2 linked regions of the Neodiprion lecontei genome follow. Each later gene encodes a partner of the first gene's protein in a complex. Links are inferred from orthologs where the notes say so. Each region holds a gene or a part of one and is shown in the gene's direction. Other genes may lie near its edges. The genes, in order: polycomb protein Sfmbt and polycomb protein Scm.

The links.
Region 2: the proteins of polycomb protein Sfmbt (region 1) and polycomb protein Scm are in contact, whole or in part, in a crystal structure (PDB 5J8Y), measured with the Drosophila melanogaster proteins. The link is inferred for Neodiprion lecontei from reciprocal best matches to the Drosophila melanogaster genes Sfmbt and Scm. Residues at the interface, in NP_001260432.1 of Drosophila melanogaster: Lys1176, Asp1177, Met1180, Met1185, Lys1186, Val1187, Gly1188, Pro1189, Leu1191, Lys1192, Asp1195; in NP_001247006.1 of Drosophila melanogaster: Lys831, His832, Glu833, Ile834, Asp835, Lys837, Ala838, Leu841, Leu842, Met846, Lys849, Tyr850, Met851.

What each region holds. Positions count from the first base shown.
Region 1 is NC_060262.1:36,177,977-36,183,023, reverse strand, and holds the start of polycomb protein Sfmbt, read left to right. Parts: upstream 1-1,927; 5' UTR 1,928-2,178; coding exon 2,179-2,200; intron 2,201-2,218; exon of another isoform or gene 2,219-2,339; intron 2,340-3,525; coding exon 3,526-3,794; intron 3,795-3,917; coding exon 3,918-4,146; intron 4,147-5,022; coding exon 5,023-5,047. Other genes in the region: serine hydrolase-like protein, read right to left, coding at 73-954. UniProt on the Drosophila melanogaster protein: Polycomb group (PcG) protein that binds to the Polycomb response elements (PREs) found in the regulatory regions of many genes.
Region 2 is NC_060263.1:33,903,090-33,908,258, reverse strand, and holds the start of polycomb protein Scm, read left to right. Parts: upstream 1-2,162; 5' UTR 2,163-3,383; coding exon 3,384-3,411; intron 3,412-3,777; coding exon 3,778-4,062; intron 4,063-4,173; coding exon 4,174-4,409; intron 4,410-4,504; coding exon 4,505-5,072; intron 5,073-5,169. Other genes in the region: iron-sulfur cluster assembly enzyme ISCU, mitochondrial, read left to right, coding at 180-404, 483-561, 1,390-1,484. UniProt on the Drosophila melanogaster protein: Polycomb group (PcG) protein. PcG proteins act by forming multiprotein complexes, which are required to maintain the transcriptionally repressive state of homeotic genes throughout development.

The sequences.
Region 1 (5,047 bases):
ATTTTTTTGTTTATTTTTAATCAAATCGTACATGTTTCCATGTGAATTGAGATTAACTAAGAGCTACGTAGATCACAAATTGCTCTTAAGATCACTCAAAAATTGGCATACGTGAGAAGCAACTTTCTCAGGGTGATTATTGTGTACGTCATGATTACCTTCAACTATTAGAAACCTGTGTGATTTCATCAACCTATCTGAACTAAGCCATAACATTTTTTCATAATGAGCTGTAGCCATTGTTGCTGTTGCGGCAATGACTGTCGCAGGTGATTTGAGTTTCTCAAGTAAACTCAAGTGTTGATCAGAATTAAATACCGGAAACAAGCCGGCGTTGAGTCGTACGTCGCGGTTCAACTTGTATTTATCACCAATTTTGGTAACAGATCGCTTCATCAAAGCTTCAGCAGCAGCAAAATTTAGAGCAAAGAATCTTGTATACATGAGCATGTACATCACTTCGTCCTCTGTATATACTTTCATAGTCTTTTCTTTCCCTTCAATGCTCAAAATATTGTCATGTACCTTTCGAATGTGGGGAATTAGTCTATTGTTTGTAATTGGCGTAGCAGTAACTGCGTCAAAACATAAAATTTTCTTTACTCTCTCAGGATAAATTGAGGTGAACATCAGTCCCATAGTAGCGCCTAAACTATGACCTATATAGATACAATTGCTCCATTTAAGACTATCTAAGACTCTGCGAAGAGCTAAAACGTGATTTAAATAATCCAGGGGTAACCCTGCAGGGAAGTGTGACGATAATCCATGGCCCGGTAAATCAATGCAGACAAAGTAATAATCGAATGGTAGAAATGGAATCAGGCGATCAAATGATCCTGCATTGTCCAGAAGACCATGAACCATCAAAACAGGCTTGCCATTAGGTGAACCCCATGCCTTGGCTGCTATGTGACCCCATGGCATTGGAAGACGTAGTTCCTCGGGTGACATATCTGTGAATAAAAATGGAAAACTTGACACAAAATGGTGAACTTCAAAGTAAGTGCATATTTGTGAAGATTTCACCATTCTTCCAAGAGGATGAAATGACAACTCCTACAAGATGTAATACTGTTATTTGGCATAAAGCAACGACATAAAACAAGACAAAGGTAACACGATGAACGGGTGATACAATGCTGTGAGTATATGATTATAATACAAAACAAATTGTTTGGCCTAACGGTTAAATCACCTTGATTGTTGAGTTACCAGTTACACTCAAAATTTTTAGTTACTGATTATCAGTTTTTATTTGGCCTTAGAATGGCAACACTTAAAGGTCAATCAGAGATAAGATACTCAACGTGCTTGGCTATCAATGAACTGAATATATACCACACGCATAACTACAAATCTGTTTATTATTTATGAGCAAACGGTTTTCTATTCGTCAATTGTACATGCATTTGTTGATACTTAGGACCTTATACAAACGGTCTTAACTTAGGACTGATACAGCTAGTCAGGCATGCAGGTCTCATAACAAGTGAGAGGTGAAAACAGGTAATTGACAATAATTATACAAGTCGTCCTTGGTCCTTGGATTGAAAGTTCAGCAACTGTTTATCGTTTGTTTTTCGCATTCAAATTAATTTCGGTATCCTGATATGATCCTGACACGCTACGTAAAAATGCCATCAATTACTGGCAGGAAAATTATCTTTCATTGCGTTAACCACAATTACGTGGCAATTATTTGACGAATTGGTAGATTTACAGCAGTGACAATTGATCTTTGAACTTGGCCGAGGAACCAGCGTTATATCTACGCAAGGCCTACACACTGATGCATAAGGTATGCGTAGTTAGATATTGGACAAAAATGGGACGTGTGCAGTTTGTCCGTCGGTGATTTGGTGTGAAGTAGATAGATACAGCAGCCCAAGGGATTCCAACGGGAAGTGAAGAATCGTATGGTACGGCCCTGGGGTTTAAGGAGGGCGATTGCGATGGTGGGGATGAAGCGAATAGGCCTACCACGAATGTTTTTCGCTATTGTTCGGTGATGTCGCGTAAAACACAATTTTTTTAAGTGAATCTCGGTTTACGGGTGAAAATTTCGATGATAATGTTCTTCGTGTCGATCGGGATGGAGTACCCACTGCGCGAGAAACACAGATTGCGGTAATACCGGGTCGAAATCTCCAAATAAACCCTCCGAAACCCTTTGTCATGGACATGCAGGCCTCCAATGGTTTGTATATATCTTTACCTTTTCTCAATTTTCCCCATAACTTTCAGATAGTCGTAGTTGAATGTTTTACTGCACGGATAAGACCTCCTTTTTTTAGATTCTCTCCCAAGTTTTTCAAGGACATCATTCGGGTCGAAGGTAACGTATGTAAAAAGGTTAAATAAACGCAGGCTTTCGGGCGCCAGGCGTCGGTTTCAGGAGCGTAATTAATTTACAGCCGCTAGTTTCCCTTGCTCGCCCCCATCCCCCTTCCTGCTCCCTCTGCACTCCACATCGCCGTTTCTATGTGCTTGAATGCATTATATCACATATGAAAAATCACGTAATATAGTATTATTCATATCTTAACAATACACGTTTTTATCTGCACGCACTAAATACTCTTCCAAAGTTTTCCTAGGTCTTTGGGTTCGTACCGCCGAAGCAAAGGCGCTCTCGATGTGGTATGGACTATTTATGATGAATGGAACACTTATCTGTATAACTCTGATCAATTTTCATTTCTACATAATAAGTACATCGAAAATGATGTATTTTTTTAAATCCATTCCCAATACTTCTCGGAAACAACATTTTTTACTCTAACGTAGAGATCATATCAATTGTGTGTTACGTCCCTGTCCGAGCTCTCTTATGTTTCATGTATTCGTCACAATTGTTTCGATTGATAACTTTGCACAAAATTGTCACTGTAGCGTGTCATGCTCTCTTTTTAAAGCAGTACCAAATGCTTCATATATTGGATTGCCGTGACCATAGCAGGTAGCTTGATTAAGCTTACATAAAAATAATGTAATTGTGTTCGTCAGCGGTAAAATACTTCTGAGATTTTTCAATGCGACTTGACATAGTAGCACATTTAAGATCTTAAATCTGACTTCTACTTTGTAAAACAAAGCATTAACTATTGAGTAATGAGCCACCTAGTTATTCAAGCCAGAGTGGATCAGATATATCCATCCATTCATCTGCTTTGCTTGATAGTAGCTATCATCATAATGAAACTTGATTCTGTCAGAAGTGTTGAATAATGACGATATTCATGGACTAAGAAGTCACGTGCTGGTTCAATTTTTTTTCGGTCCATCGTCATATACGACGTGTATAATCAATGCATTGCAATGGACAATATGCTCTTTTAAATTAGAGCGATGCTCATTCAATGATAACTACTGCTCCTGTTACTGTAAATAATACGCATTAGCTCTATATATCAATATCATTAGAATTATATTTATGGTTCTATGTCTATTTACCCATTCACTGATATTGCGATAATGATACTGATACATACGTCTAATAAGCTTAACGTTCTCTATATCCAGTATATACATCCATCCCTGGGATGCCAGAGCTGGGGATGGTATGGATGAGTGACATGATGATGCATGGGGAGCCAACACATGAGTTGATGCTAGACCCGCGCCAACCAGAAAGCCCTTTTTTCTCTCATGGATCTCATTCTTTTGACGATCTGCGTAATCATCACATGGGCCCGCCTACTATGGTGCGATATTTGGCCCCACAGTTTACTGCCGAATGCTCAGAACCTGACGAAGCGATGGAGGCTGTGGATACTCAAGAAATACAAAATGTAAGTTATTTCATATCTCCCGTCGTAGAAGACCATTCTCTGATTATTGATTTTAGATCATATCAATTTTTTTGATGAACAACGTTTGTACATGCAGTCAATTTGTTTAAAAATATTGTGTAGGAATATGACCCGCAAACTGGGCCAGAGATGAGCGAGTACATGACTATAGAGGATTACATGGCTGATGGAGATCGTGAACAGGTGGTCACAAATGCAGCTACGCAGACCCAAGACAATCGAAACCGCAAGATCAAACCTATAAAACATCCAGGCTTGGTCCTAAAGACTCCAATTGCTTATCAGCCACATACAGATTTGAACTTTATACCTATCCGTAAGGATGGCATTGGTAAGTCATTCTTATAAGAAATATATTTTATAATCACGTCTAGCAGGTATGCATTACAGTTGAAGCTTGAAAAAGATACCATATCTTAAAAAAAGAAAAGTATCTGCACACAAATTATAAGACTGCGCTATTTAAATAACTTCTGTGATGTACTTCACCTAAATTTTAAAAAATACGAAAGAAAAGAAAAAATGGTTAATCGACAACGTTTGGGTTTTATTTCTCTATTTTATTTACTGGTTTTCGATCAGGGCAAATGAATTAACTGAAATACGAAAATTGATGCTCGATGAATAAGCACGTGAAAATGTTATGGCGAAGCTAACGAAAAGCACATACTTCAACGTGAAGATATATTTCTCAATATATGTATATGTTTCAATCACGTATAATTAAGATGCAGGAGATAATTGTGGATTCAGTCTCTTTATGTCTAGGCTATTTGCCACGCATCTCCTTGTCTACTATCATCGCTTTTTCCTGTTATTATGAATCTCCACACTGTAACTGGACACTTTTCTTTCTATCTTTATATTCGTTTACACACTTACTCGATATAAATTCTTTCATCAATTCCCTGTTATTCCAGGCACTCATTCTCTTCCCTATTCAGAACCAAACATCTCAAGTCCATCTTGTATTTTTATACTTCTGATTAATGATATCATATAGAAATTGTTCAATTGGATTTGATCAGAATTACGATCCTTCATACTTGCAATTTTCAAGTGAAATCGTCCATGAGAAATGTAATACTAGTGGCAAGAGTTTCTTAAATAGCGAAATATTTTCTTTGCAATGATTGAAATATACTTACTATTCAAACACAAACAATTCTAATGACTAAAAAAAATATAAATTCAACTTTTATCATAGCTGTGTGTGAAAAATGTGGTGCAAT
Region 2 (5,169 bases), on another chromosome or scaffold:
AAAACAGTCAGTCTCTGGACTTTAAAAAGAGAACTTCCTGACCAAATACATCCACTTTCTTTCTAAAATATTCCTCGTTTTGTGAGACTTCTTTGGCTCGGCGTTCGCTCAATTCGCGCAGTGAACCCATTGATTCTCAGTCCTTTCTTAATTTCCCCCGTTGTTACAATATTATCCAGGTGCTAGACCACTATGAAAATCCGAGGAATGTTGGTTCTCTTGATAAAAATGACAAACATGTGGGAACTGGCCTTGTAGGAGCTCCGGCATGTGGCGATGTCATGAAACTTCAAATAAAAGTTGATGAAAATGGAAAAATCACTGATGCTAAATTCAAGACATTTGGCTGCGGATCAGCTATCGCCTCTAGCTCTCTTGCTACTGAATGGGTTAAGGGTAAAACGGTAAGTTCATGCTTCGATTAATCCTGTGTGTGCATTATACTTTAAACATCGCTAATCACTATTAATATTTGTAATCAGGTTGACCAAGCATTGGAGCTAAAGAACACTGACATTGCAAAGGAACTTTGCCTTCCACCAGTCAAGCTACATTGTTCGAGTAAGTTTTAGCCCATTAGATTGATAATAGCATTGTTAACCTTTCGTTAGTGGCACTTGCTTGCACAACGAATTTCATTGTGCGGACAGCACTCTGCCACCTATGTTAAATGAAATGGGACATTGCCACGTCACAATATAGTAATGAAATCTTTTCATTAAACAGCTTATTTGATTATTTTGAAAATATATGTATCGAACATAATTTCTTTTAAATCTAAGAGTATATAAGCACACTGTGTGTATCGACCATCTTTACTGTCAGCTGAGATGTTCCAAGTCAGCTCTGGCAACGTGGTCGGAAAAATTGAATCAATGATTTAACTCGTGTAATGAGCACTGTGCTACTATTTCACGATCTTATTGAACATTAATATACTTTTCTTATACATTAAATAGTTATCAATTATGAGTATATCCAACTATAGTAAACATTTCAAAGAAAAAAGTAGTAAAGTATGAAGTCACAGTTACTCATATAGTTACATATATTGGGATTTTTGTCTAAAGGCTAAAGTCACGCTCAAAGTGCGAGTAATGAAAGGTTAAAGATAAGATTTGTATGACGAATCAGAAATGTAACTGGGTTGCTGGCATGAAAAATTAATAATTAATATTTCATGTACCAAAATCCAAGTGCTATGGTTTTTCAGTAGCTAGCTGGTAATTTAGTAAAGTAGACTTGGTAAAAACTATAATTTTTATTCTATATCAGAAATTCAAGGCAATATTTCCAAATCCAGTTTTTAAAAATCCATTTTAAACTTTTTTTTAACTTGCATTCGTAGGCATGTAAATTACTATAAAATTTAAAAAATCCTTATTTCAGTGCTTGCAGAGGATGCAATCAAGGCAGCACTTTCTGATTACCGCATTAAGCAGCAACCAAAAGCCAAAACAGCATCTGGCAGTAATGAAGTTTAGAGTTGCATACCTAGAAGTATAAACAGCACCAAGCAGGAAAACAAACTTTATAGGTCATAGTTGGCGAAAAATAGTATATTGCATCATATCTTGCAATCCAAATTAGTCAACGTTTAAATTGAACGTCTAATATTCTTTACTGTAGCTATCTGCTGTAGTACAATCTTGGATGATGAATACAGAATCTATAATAGTTACATGTATGATCAAGTTTATAAGAGTGAGATTCTGATCGAACGTAAGTACGTCGTTTAATTTCAAATTAAATTTCTCCAACTGACTTATACATGTATGTATATACATATAAACTTACATATGTATATATAGTATTCACTTGTATCCAAAATAATTGAAATTATATTTTAGTACGCATAATATTTATTGTTCGGGTTTATAAAGCTTGCGGTTATGCAGGTTCACGATATATCATAGTGATAATTACCTTGTGATCCTATTTTTCATGGAAATTTATATTTTATTAAAGTATATTATACATATAATAGCAGATCGGAAAAATTCTACTGAAGTAATAAAAGTGGCGTTCAAGCATTTTGGGTATATCTATGCCCTCAATTCCCGTTACTTATAATGTGCGTAAAACTTTAATGTGCATACTCTCAAATTAGTACAGGATAAGTACAATCTTGAGGAGAGTAAAAATTAATCCTCTAACTCTCGAGAATGCTAATGTCCCCCGAACTCGCGTCGGTTCAATAGATACATGCGGGCGGTAAGATAATTGAATGGCGCTATTATGCCATATTTGCGAGAGGTGATGACAATCAACGACGGGCTCGTCGCTGGCTAAAATCATCAGTCTCTCTTTAGCCTAAGCATTGACCCATGTTCCTTCCCACTCTAGAAACTCAGCCTGGTGCTGGTCACAGTATAAGAATAAGTGGTCCGACTCGTGCTGGATGCTGTGATTATTTTACCAAAGTTCACCAGCCGAGTCCAGGTGTCGCATAGGCCGAAAAACCACCGCCCGCAAAAATTTAAATCGTCTTTCAGAACAATTTGTATCCGCGCAAAAGTTGACGTTTAACATACAACCCGTTAATACCACTTTATAAATAAATTATGATCTTCGGGAACGCCAACTAACGATACTGGTGTTTCCGAATGCCGATACCCGTACTGGCAGTCAGGTACATAGCGGAACTTTCCCATTTTATTTTAATGTATCAACGGAGTAATCTAAAATTGCACCAGAGCAAATGAACAACCCGTTCACGAACTCCGTGACCAGAAACAAAGTGATCAAACAGGTTCGAAATAAAGATACAGGAAAAATATGTTTTCACAATCATCTATTGTGACACCAAAGGATACACGTGGCGGAGAGACAGGGGACTTTAGTAAAACAACAATCACAGAGCCTTGCATCGGGAGCAGAGACTAGTAGAGTCTCTGTCGGGAGTATAATAGAGCAGTCGGACGGACTAGGTATCTCTTAATTTTTACACCGTGGCGGCATTCGGCGCGAGTTCGGATCGGACAGGATTTGGTTCCAAGAGACACCGCGCGCGACTATATAAAAGCAATATGGCGGCGTTGACAGTAGACTCTGTGCTTGTGGGTGTATAATATTATCAGAATGAAAACTACGTAAATACAGTAGGAATTATAATCGTCAAACGTCCTACGTAATCAATGCTTAATGCGGATCGATAATATTTATATAATTATACTGCGCGATCCCAACCGAGCCGGTATTATTTTCAACCCGGGAACAATTTTCCGCGCTCAGGGGGCATTCTCTAGATGCCAAAATGTGTATCGTTAATGGATGCAAATTCTTTTGATTGTAGGTGTCATTGTTAGTTGGTTGCATAAATCATTCATGGTGGTTAGTTTTGTTTCTGGCTTATATTATTAGCCAAATTACTACCGGCCAGGATGTCTGCTAACCAAGGGAAGATGCGAGGTATGATATATCGCACGGTTATAATACGTAAATAACCTCGTCTTTCACTTCTAATGTCTTTTTTTTTTTATTCTTCAATTAAAATCGCAAGATTATTCAAATGCTATATATCTGTACTTTTACATTAAATAAGTGTGTAAATCTCTATCGTTATATTGAATTATTACTACCTTGAAATTAATACCTTCTAAATGATCTTCCATACATGAAAGATAAATCGTAACGATATTTCGGCATCATTGATTTGAAAAGAAAGATGTGTCAACGATGTATTTTGTAAAATAACTTCAAACAATCAGATTTATGACTGAACAATCACATCATGTAGTTTTTGCAGACCTATTTAAAGTTAATATTTCAACTTAGGCCCAGGTCGACCACCTAAACCAAAGAGTTCCTGCACTTGGTGCGGAGAAACAAAGCAGCCGTTGAAATACGTACTGCCGACACAGCATGGAAAAAAAGAGTTTTGTTCAGAAACTTGTTTATCCGAGTATCGCAAAGCCTACATCAGAGGGGCCTGCGTGCAGTGCGATAATGTGATTAGAGGGACTCCAGTCAGACTGGAACAGCGTGATACTCCAATCAAGGATTTTTGCTCTTCTTTCTGTCTTAATAAGCATCAAAAAAAAGAGAGTGAATCAAGAAAAAGTTAGTAATAATCCTAGATCAATAGACTCATTGATGTTTACTGTTATGGCGATAATGTTATTTCTCATAATATATTATCACAATATATAATCTATGTGTCTTTAAATATAGACAATGGTGAGCAACCATCTCCTGCAGCCTCTCCTGCACCTTCTGGCCTCCCTAGTGGAAGTAGCATCCCTTCGACAACGCAATCTTATACCGGCACCAATAGTCAACCAACTGTATCTCAGCCTCCTTCAACATCATCTGGTCCTTTCCAGTATGAGACGTACCAAACGTTTGATTGGGAATTATATCTCAAAGAGACCAACAGTGTGGCTGCACCTATTGATTGCTTTAAACAGGTACTACTTGTTTTCATCTTCTATTTTAGTTTCCTTTTTTGCACAGTATAAAATCTACCCATTGATTAAATTGATATTTCCCTGTAAAATGGCAGCACGAAGTTCCGCCAACAAATGAATTTAAAATGGGAATGAAACTTGAGGCACTGGACCCTCGCAACTTGACTTCTACATGCATCGCAACAGTAGTTGGAGTCTTGGGGCCGAGATTAAGATTGCGACTCGATGGTTCGGATAACAAAAACGATTTTTGGCGCTTGGTAGATAGCAATGAAATACATCCGATTGGTCACTGCGAAAAATCTGGGGGAATGTTACAACCACCGCTAGGTTTCCGGATGAATGCATCTAGCTGGCCAATGTTTCTTTTGAAAACGCTTAATGGCGCTGAAATGGCACCAGCTAAAGTTTTTAAACGGGAACCAAAAGATCCACGTTCCAATCTCTTCGAAGTTGGGTACAAGCTCGAAGCTATTGATAAGAAAAATCCACAACTTATATGCACAGCAACTGTTGGCGCTGTAAAGGATGACATTATTCACATAACTTTCGATGGATGGAGAGGTGCTTTTGATTACTGGTGCCGTTACGATTCTCGGGATATATTTCCTGCAGGCTGGTGCTTTAAAAGCGGACATCCGCTACAGCCACCGAGGCAAAAATGTAAGCCCAATTAAATTTAATTTTTCTGATACAGATACACAGTTGTGAAAGTATTTTTTAAATTTTAAACAGAAATATTGTGATCCATCATGATTAG